Linked DNA regions of Coturnix japonica. The protein of the gene in region 1 interacts with the protein of each later gene in a pairwise test. Links are inferred from orthologs where the notes say so. Each region holds a gene or a part of one and is shown in the gene's direction. Other genes may lie near its edges.

Region 1 (4,607 bases):
AGACCACCACAAATTTGCCACAAAACAACTGGGAGAAGCTGCTGATCCCATTTCCTCCTTGCAAACGGAAGGCTGGACGCTCACTCCACCTGTTAGGAAACAATTCTTCCTTCAAACGAATAGACAGAGTGCTTTATCCTCATGAAGAAAATGGGATGTCTTGCACGTTTATTTTCTTTTTGCTGCTGCATACGTGTCTTTAAAGCAGGCATCTGGGTGGAGGAAGGACACTGAGGTAACTCGTTGCACCTCTTGGGTTTATTTTTCTTTGTGGTGATCTCTCCCAAATGTCACTTCTTACCTCGGGTACTTAATTGAGGTTTCAGCGTTGGGTTGGGTAAGAACAGAAATAGAAAAGCGAGTATTCAGACGAGAATAATTCTGGAAACCTGGGTTGATCTATTTAATTTTTTTGCACATGTTACTCTTATTAAAGACTCTAATTTGCCAAGAGCAGAGTTTAGCCCTGGCCTTTCTGCGCTCCCCATGCAGCGATCCTGGCAGAGCTGGGCTGGATTCACACTGCAGAACATGGACAAAGGGTGAGGGGCTGTGGGAGGATCCTCCCCGTGTCCTGATATTGTTGGTTGGTTTGAGCTGCTGCTGTTGACAAGGGTCGAAGCAGCCGGAGCTGGTGGCTGTGAGCAGGGCTGGGGCTGGGGGGGCTGTACTATGGGAGCTGCCCCATCCCCAGCTGTATTGGAGCCCCACAGCCCGGTTCTGGTGCTGTGTGAACACACTGGGCCTCATTTCCATGTTTCCGTCCCGCTCACAAACATTTTCCTTCATAAAGTCTCAGATCTGTGTATTTTATACGATCTATCGGCACCTGTTTGTCTAATCGGGCTCCAGAGGAAACCAACACCTGTGTAATGTAATGTGTGTAATAGCGCTGTGAGCCGTTACCTGCACACGAGGCCCGAGCTGCTCCCGTTATAGCGCTGTGTGTGGCCGCGCTCACGGTCGGTTCCTCGTACCGGGCCGGGATCGAACAAAGCGCTGAGCGGAGCCGGGCCGGGAGCGAGCGGCTGTGGAGACCGGGGGGGGCGGAAGTGGCTGCCGCGGGGCACGCCGGGAGTTGTAGTTCCCGCGGCTCTTCCCGCTCCTCGCCTCTGTCTCCCGGCGGCCCCCGCGGCTGCTCGGCGCTGATTGGTCGGCGGAGCGGGGCGGCGCCTGCGCGATGAGCGCACGCTGCGAGGCCCGGCCCGGAACCGCTTCCTTCAGTGCGGGACCGGCGGGGGGAGCGGGCGTTGCTGGGCGCTGCTGGGCGCTGCCCGCCGGTACAACGGGGCTCTGCCGCCTCAACCGGCACCGACCGCACCGGGAGGAGCGGCCGCTACGTCACAGCGCTGCCGGTGACGTCACGGGGGTACGGGCGTGACGTCACGGCGGGAGGAAGGGAGGTGTTGATGACGTCACGGGGGTCACGTGGGATGGCGGGAGCGGACGGGGGCTCCGGTCGGACCGGGGGGATCCGGGGATACCGGGCTGTATGGGGATACAGGGCTATAAGGGGATACCGGGATATGTGCGGGGATACCGGGCTGTGTGGGGCTGATACCGGGCTCCATGGGATCCGGTGCCGCGCGGCTCCTCGATGCCGTCCCCGTGGCGCAGCGCTGGGTCGCGGCGGGTCCCGGTTCCCGGTTCGGTCCCGGTTCGGTCCCGGTTCCCGTCCGCTCCCTCCATTCCCCGCTCCAGCTGCGGTTTCCGTTCCAGCGGTTCTCCCGGTGCTGAGCGCGGAGCGGTGCCGCCATGAAGAACCAGAGCGGAGACGGCAAAGCGGCCCCGCGACCCGCGGCCAAAACCGGCGGCGATCCGGGGGACGAGGCGGAACCGGCAGAGCCCAGCGCGGCCATGGAAGGTGCGGGCAGCGCCGCGTCCCGGTATTGGGTACGGGGCGGCCCGTTCTGTCCGGTCCGTTCTGTGCGACTCGTAGCGTTGATCCCAGCAGCACAGAGTCCCTGAGCGATCGGTTCCTTTAGTGCTGCTCTGTGACATTGAGACAGGAATGGGTGGTCAGCTCACAGCAGGTTCAATTAACCTTGCCCTGCGTTTTAGTAACTGTGGAACGTAGGAGATGCACAGCAATGCAGTGAGTTCAATAGCTGATGCTGTACAGCTCTGCTTGGGAGGAGTTGTGGATGTAGAGAAGTGCTGAGGGGCTGCTGGGATGGGATGGATTGTGCTGGGATGGGGATGGGATGGGATGGGGATGGGATGGGATGGGATGGGATGGGATGGGATGTGGGTCTGAGCCGCTACAGCTGCTCGTATATGTGAGCAAAGAGGCAAACTCAGCTTATAGATCTATTGTTGTGCAAAAAAGGCTCTGGGGATATTAGCAGGCTGCTGCTCCGAGGGAAGGCTCACACACAACCTGCTTTGGTTAGAGGATGGTGGGAGGGGGCAGTTCTTGCTCCTGACAGATGTCAGGGTCTCGGTCATGCTCTCGTGATCAAAAGAGGCTGTTAGGAATGCACCTCCATTGTCAGGGCAGCTGGCTGGAGGCACAGCCTGAACAAAGCAGTTTGTGTGCTGGGAGTTCAGCCCGCCCTGGTGCACTGAGGTGCTCGGGGAAACCTTCCCCTTGCTGTGTGTGCGTGGAGAGCAGAGAACAGGCGGCGTGGGGAAGCATCACGCCTTTGTGCTTGTATCTCCGACAGCTCCCCTTGCACAGGACGACACAAAGTCCTCCCGGGCTGCCGTGCAGGATGTCTCTGAGGAGCTGAGCAGGCAGCTTGAGGACATCTTGAACACGTACTGCGTGGATGCCAGCCAGGAGGGTCCGGGTGAGGACGGTGGGCAGAGTGAGCCCGTGGAGCCAGAGGAAGTGGAGAAGTGCCTCAGTGAGTCCCCGAGGAACGGAGATCAGGAGTCAGGCAGCCCCGAGATGAATGGTGAGAAGGAAGGAACGAAGGGGACCGAAGAGTTTCGACCTGGAGACGAGTGTGGAGAGCGGGATCAGAAGAAGGCTCAGGAAAAGAAGAAAGCCAAGGGCCTCGGTAAGGGGTTTCCTGCTGTGGTTGTGCTGCCAGCCTGAGAACTTTGGTGCAGATGTGGATTTTATACTGCACTAAGTGCTGTTAGAGAAATGAATACCTTAGGTACGTGTTTGGAAATAGTACAGCATCTTATTCTTGTGGTATGGGAGGAAACGTTGAGTGTTGCAAAGACACTCATCAGTCCTGAGTGCTGCTGCAGCCTCTGAATTGTGCAGGTTTCCCCTCTGCTGCACACAGCGTTGTCTAGTTGGCCCCTTGGTGGTTCCCTACTCTGATAACCACGTTTCTCCTCAGCTGCTTCAATTGTTCACTGCTGTATGTGGTGAAATCTGGGGGACAAACCCCCAAATAGGCACTGGAGATGGGAACTCTGGGCCAGGGTGGTCACAGGTGTGAGACCTGGTTTCTGTCTCCTGTCCTTGCCTTTATAAGCCACAACTCCATGTACGTGACGTCACCTTTCTGTTTAATTCTGTCTCACTGCAGGCAAAGAAATCACTTTGTTGATGCAGACCCTGAACACCCTGAGCACGCCAGAGGAGAAACTGGCAGCACTGTGCAAGAAATACGCTGAGCTGGTGAGTCCTCGTTTCTTCATTCCAGGCTCTGGGGCAGTGGGAGGACGCTGCTGCAGTGAGCACTGGGACAGCACTCAGAGCTCTGCTCTGTTTAAGCATTGAGTGCTTGGAGGTCCTGAAGGAATGTGCACTTCTCACCAATTCCAGTAGGATGTTAATTCAGGAAGGAGAAAGGCTGTGTGTGGGAGACCTTGGGTTCTGTATTCATCTGACTGTGCTTTTTATTATAAAGCTCCTGTCCTTTCAGAGTAGACAGAACACCTATTTGATCCCTGTGTACCCTTATATGGGCACAGCATTGCCCTGGTCTGTTTTGCTGCATCTCTGCCCTCTGCTCTCCTACCCTAGCTGGAAGAACACCGAAACTCCCAGAAACAGATGAAGATTTTGCAGAAGAAGCAGACACAGTTGGTGCAAGAGAAGGACCACCTGCAGAGTGAGCACAGCAAGGCCATCCTGGCCCGCAGCAAGCTGGAGAGCCTGTGCCGTGAGCTCCAGAGACACAACCGTACCCTCAAGGCGAGTGTCTCCTGGGATTGCTGCAGGAGCTGCTTCCTCCCAAACCCTTAGGTCACCTGCTGCAGGGCTGATTTTAAGGAGTGGTCGCCCGCAGTCTGATGTCCAGTGCAGGATTTCAGTTGTGCTGTTAATCTGTTATCTTGCAAGGGACAGCAGGGGAGGGAGCTGACCCTTGTGATTTTATTTTGAAGGAAGTGATCATTTGTGGGCTTGCTCAGCTCTTGGAGTGAAGGAGCTGCCATGCAATGGCCTGCAGAGCCTTCCTGATTGATACCAGCAGCAGTGGGAAGTTGGGTGGGTTCAGATCATCACGGCCCAGGGAGGTTTGTTCATCTGCCTGATGTGATGCCACGTTGCTGTCTGCCCTTCTAATACAGGAGGAGGGTGTCCAGCGAGCACGAGAGGAAGAGGAGAAACGGAAGGAGGTGACATCCCACTTCCAGGTGACACTGAATGACATCCAGCTGCAGATGGAGCAGCACAACGAGAGGAACTCCAAGCTGCG
Region 2 (4,604 bases), on another chromosome or scaffold:
AGATGAAGGAAATAGCATTTCACATCTTCCATTCAGTTAAAACTTCCACAAAAGCCCATTAGGAGAAATGGCGACATCAAATTCTGCCACCAAAACCTTGGTTTCTGTGTTCAGCCACTCTTATATTGCTGGAGGAAATATGAAGATCTCTGTAGCTCTTTCTGAGAGTAACCAACAGGAAAAGTTAATCTGGAGAGGGTCACACTGAGATTCTGCAGCTAATCCATGTACTATTTTAGTGTAAATCCTGCCACGTGCACACAGGCTGCAGAAGGATCTGGCAACTGCTGTCATGCTGATCTTCAGGAAGTCTATGCAGCAGTTACTAGTCTCAGATTAACTTATAATCTGTTCTTAAATTGCCTAAAATATAAACACATCGATCTTTTAAGGAGGTAAAAGGTTAAGCAGAATGTTACAAGTTTTCAGCATGTAACTGTGTGTACGGAGATGTAGTTCTGCTCAGAAGTCCAACAGGTGCTCATATGTTTAGTATGTAGTAACACAGAATTTATTTTATGGCGTTAATTCTACGTAACAAATAAGTATTCAATAGTTTAGGGGTTGGGGGGTTTGTTATCAAGTCTGTTTATTATAAATTTTTGTTCTTTTTTTCTTTTTTTTGAAGCTGGCTCAGTGCTGCCCTAGCTGGGACGATATAAGGCACTTGTACTGAGAGTCTTAGGTGATGGTTAACTTTCTGAAATAATCCTAGACACTTAGCAGGTTATTTTGTTAACCATAAAAGTAAAGGGAATTAAAATGAGATCACTTTGTGTGGAGTTGTATTTAAAAAAACAAAACAAAGTGCAGGAGACTTTTTCAGCATTATAATGACTGAAATAGTTCCCTGTAGGTAATTAAAGACTGAATCCAATAGCTTGGTTCTACTTCCTGACACATAGGAGTCTGCAGAATCTCAGGTGTGACCACATCCTAAAATGTGTTTTGCTGAACCTAACGCTGATTCAAACATAGACAAGCAGAAAAACAATCAGGGTAGTGCTACCCAATACTTCAGTTTAAATGCTGAGAAAATTATTGGGTCAACATTATTACAAAATTTATGATGTAGTTCAGTGCAACTTTTAGAAGGACTCTGTGAAGAACTGTGTTGAAATCCAGGTTTGTGGCTGAGTTGGTGATGACTGCAGCACAGACAAACCCAATCCAGATGGGTTTGTGGTAGCACTGGCAATAGTTTAACTGCAGCAAGGATGGCTAAACAGATAAACACAGTTTGCACGAACCAACCCAACTCATGTGGGTAAAGGACTGGTTGATCAGCCTTTGCTGACCTCCATGACAAAGGCAAGAGAAGTAGCTAAGCTACTGATTGCACCTTTTCAACTGGGCAGTAACCAAAGCAACCACTGGAACCTGTACGTTTCTAAATCACAGCAATCATAGCAGGTATTTAATGTGAACAAAACTGCAGAATAGTAGCCCTATCCTGTGTTTCTAGTATAGACTTGTAACAGCAATGCTGTCTTGCAGTATCTCACAAAGCAAGTGGAGCTCTTGCGTCAAATGAATGATCAACATGCAAAAGTTTATGAACAGCTGGATGTGACAGCAAGAGAACTAGAAGACACTAATCAAAAACTAGTTGCAGAGAGCAGAGCGTCACAACAAAAGATACTAAGGTAACAAACCTAAGCTAGATCCTCTTTTCTCCCCTCTACTCAACTGATACATGCAGCTTTTTGGTGGCTGTTTGTCTAGCATTGTTCTACAACACTCTTAAACTGAAAGTTTTATTTAAAGGTGATTTGTGGCCAAAGAGCTTCAGAGAAGCTGGAATGGGGAGGGATGGGAACTAATCTGTCCTGGATTAAACTGTCAAGTGTTTTAACATCAGTCCTTCACTTTTAGCTTGACAGAGACTATTGAAAATCTGCAGACACACATAGATGACCTGCAGAGGCAAGTAGAAGAACTGAAAAAGTCTGGACGAGGCCGGATGAACCATGAGAGATCTGACCAGCCAAGATCAATGCACAGCTTCTCTTGTTTGAAGGAGCTATATGACCTTCGCCAGTAAGACTCTTACCTTGCATAGCAAACAGATTATTGAAATTATTTTGAGCAATGTTTCAAAAACTAGATACAAGCACAGATGTTTAACAGGGTAGCAGAAAAGCATTTTAAGTTTGCAACTAGAAAAACACCTGCACAGCTGTGCAGTGTGTGGTGTTGTCATGCTTCTGGTGTGCTCTGGCTGCGGACTGTATTGATCTTTGTGGGAGAGGAACAGTATGTTCTACTTTCTATCTTGACAGGTTCTCCCCCAAAGTCTCCAGCTGTATGAAACTGTGTCCTAGAAAGCCTTCAAGAATGTGAACCTCCCTCTTTTCAGTTAGATAAAGCACAAACACAGATAGCTACAAAGTAAATTATCCTAAACAATATTTTCTGTAACTTACTTTTTCCTTGGACATCTGTAGGCACCTTCTTCTCAAGGTGAGCTTGCTGCAGTAGCTTTGCAGAATTTAAGCTGGTAAAATGTTGCCTGAAGCTTTAGGCTGCTTTCTAATGTAGAGCAGTTCTACCCAGCTGAACCACATTGTATGCCCATCAGGAGTCACCCGGGGTATGGTCCCAATCTGTCTTCACTGCTAGAAGCTAATAGAGGAAGTGAAGTACTTCTGCAGACAGGGAGAACAGGATTTGTGTTTAGGCTTCCAGCACTGTGCAAGTAAGACTGAGCAATTAACAACCTATGCAAGCAAGGAATTACTTGATGACAATTCAAAAGATAAATGGGTTACTTCAAACTGTGAAAGGTTTGTGGGATTGCCGCTCTACAGAACTGCTTTGTTCATTCTGAAGCTTGTTTCCACAATCAGGGGTGACACAAGTTAAGAGATGTGGTAGAAATCTGAAAGTCAGGGAGTATCACATAATATGTGAAGGCAGTATTTAAAAAACTTAAATTATAGATCTCATTATTCAGTAAACTTATCTGTAATTTGAGATTGTTAAAGAGCTGCCATCCTGCTTGAGCTGAGAGGCTTGATGGCACATGAAGTATCTACAGGCTCCAATCATGCTATGTATTCTTTCAGATCTGTTAACATAAACTGTCATTAGTTACCAATGACAGGAAAACTTCAGGTGCAATCAGCTCTATTTCCTATTAGTAATCCTTGCTTCTGTCTCCTCAGGTATTTTGTTTATGATCACGTGTTTGCAGAAAAGATTACTTCAATGGATAGTCAGCTAAGTCCTCTGGAAGAAGAAAATGAGAACTTGAAGAAGGCAGTTACGGTTCTGCAAGCCCAGCTCAACCTAGAAAAAGAGAAGAGGGTAACGATGGAGGAGGAATATAGTCTTGTGGTGAAAGAAAACTGCGACCTTGAACAGAGGCTTGTTGATATTGACTTGTATCGGGCTCGTGCAGAGGAGTTAGAAGTGGAAGTAGCTGAAATGCGACAGATGCTTAAATCTGAAAACACACTCCACAATGCGGAGAAATTGGTGCCAGAATCCTTTTTCATTTCATTTAAGGAATCTTTAGAAAGGGAGCTTGGTCAGAGCCCAGCTGATGACGGGCTTCTGGCTGTCCCTGAACTTGACAAAAAGGCACTGAAGCGGAGCAGCAGTGAAAATTTCCTGAGCAGTGCTGCAGGGGGAGACATTCTAAGGGGCCACGAAGAAACGTGTATCAGGAGAGCTGAAGCTGTGAAGCAGCGGGGAATCTCTGTACTCAATGAAGTCGATGCTCAGTATAATGCTCTGAAAGTGAAATATGAGGAACTTTTGAAGAAGTGTCAAATAGATGAAGATTCTTTGAAACACAAGGCTGTACAAACACTGAAGCAGTATTCTAAAGACAGTGTGGGAAATAACCAGTATGAGTTTTCAGCTAATAATCAAGAATTTATGAATGCAGGAGAATCGCTCAGCTCCACAAATACTCTTCCTGAATATAAAGCACTCTTCAAGGAAATCTTTAGCTGTATCAAAAAAACAAAGGAAGAAATAGATGAGCACAGATCTAAGTACAAGTCCCTTTCTTCTCAGCCGTGAATTTAGACATTCTGATGACCGATTTGTTGTTGGCAACTCATTTGTTGTCTAGAAGGGGGGAAAATTTTTACACAAATGTCAGAAGGCCCCGTGCACAGATGTTTCTGTTTTCAATTGGCTCATAGACACGTAGTTAAAAAGCTAGTTAGACTATCAGTGTCCCTGTACCTATGTAGCAATAGATGTAATGTTGTTTAGCACTGTCACACAAACTAGTGGTTGTAAAGGAAACAAAAACATTGCAACTTAATACTATAATGCTACTTAATACTACACTTGATTTCTGGCAGAAACTGACAATAGTTTTCCTACTCCACTTCAAATTAACAGAGCTAAGAAACCTGTACAGTACTTCTCACAAAGAACCAAGCAAAAGCTTTTCTTTAATTTGCATGTGATCATGTAGCCCTGTAACTGTAAAAACACAAAATAACAAGAAGCCCCAGATCAGTATCACAGGTAGCCTCTCCTCGAGTCCTGAGAATGAAGTTAGTGAATCTGGCTGAATTTGCTTTGGCAGGGAGCTGGAGAGCTAGAACAGCAGCTTGCAATGTGCTTGGTGAAGTTACTGC

The links. The genes of interacting proteins can lie anywhere in the genome.
Region 2: the proteins of TXLNA (region 1) and CDR2 interact in binary tests that used the Homo sapiens proteins (3 or more experiments, as listed by UniProt). The two-hybrid records come from large-scale screens. The link is inferred for Coturnix japonica from reciprocal best matches to the Homo sapiens genes TXLNA and CDR2.

Annotation. Positions count from the first base shown.
Region 1 is NC_029538.1:4,544,212-4,548,818, reverse strand, and holds the start of TXLNA (alpha-taxilin), read left to right. Parts: upstream 1-1,184; 5' UTR 1,185-1,355; exon of another isoform or gene 1,356-1,369; intron 1,370-1,719; 5' UTR 1,720-1,755; coding exon 1,756-1,864; intron 1,865-2,666; coding exon 2,667-3,005; intron 3,006-3,491; coding exon 3,492-3,583; intron 3,584-3,931; coding exon 3,932-4,102; intron 4,103-4,479; coding exon 4,480-4,607. UniProt on the Homo sapiens protein: May be involved in intracellular vesicle traffic and potentially in calcium-dependent exocytosis in neuroendocrine cells.
Region 2 is NC_029529.1:8,355,153-8,359,756, reverse strand, and holds part of CDR2 (cerebellar degeneration-related protein 2), read left to right. Parts: intron 1-1,497; coding exon 1,498-1,646; intron 1,647-1,875; coding exon 1,876-2,040; intron 2,041-3,167; coding exon 3,168-4,032; 3' UTR 4,033-4,604.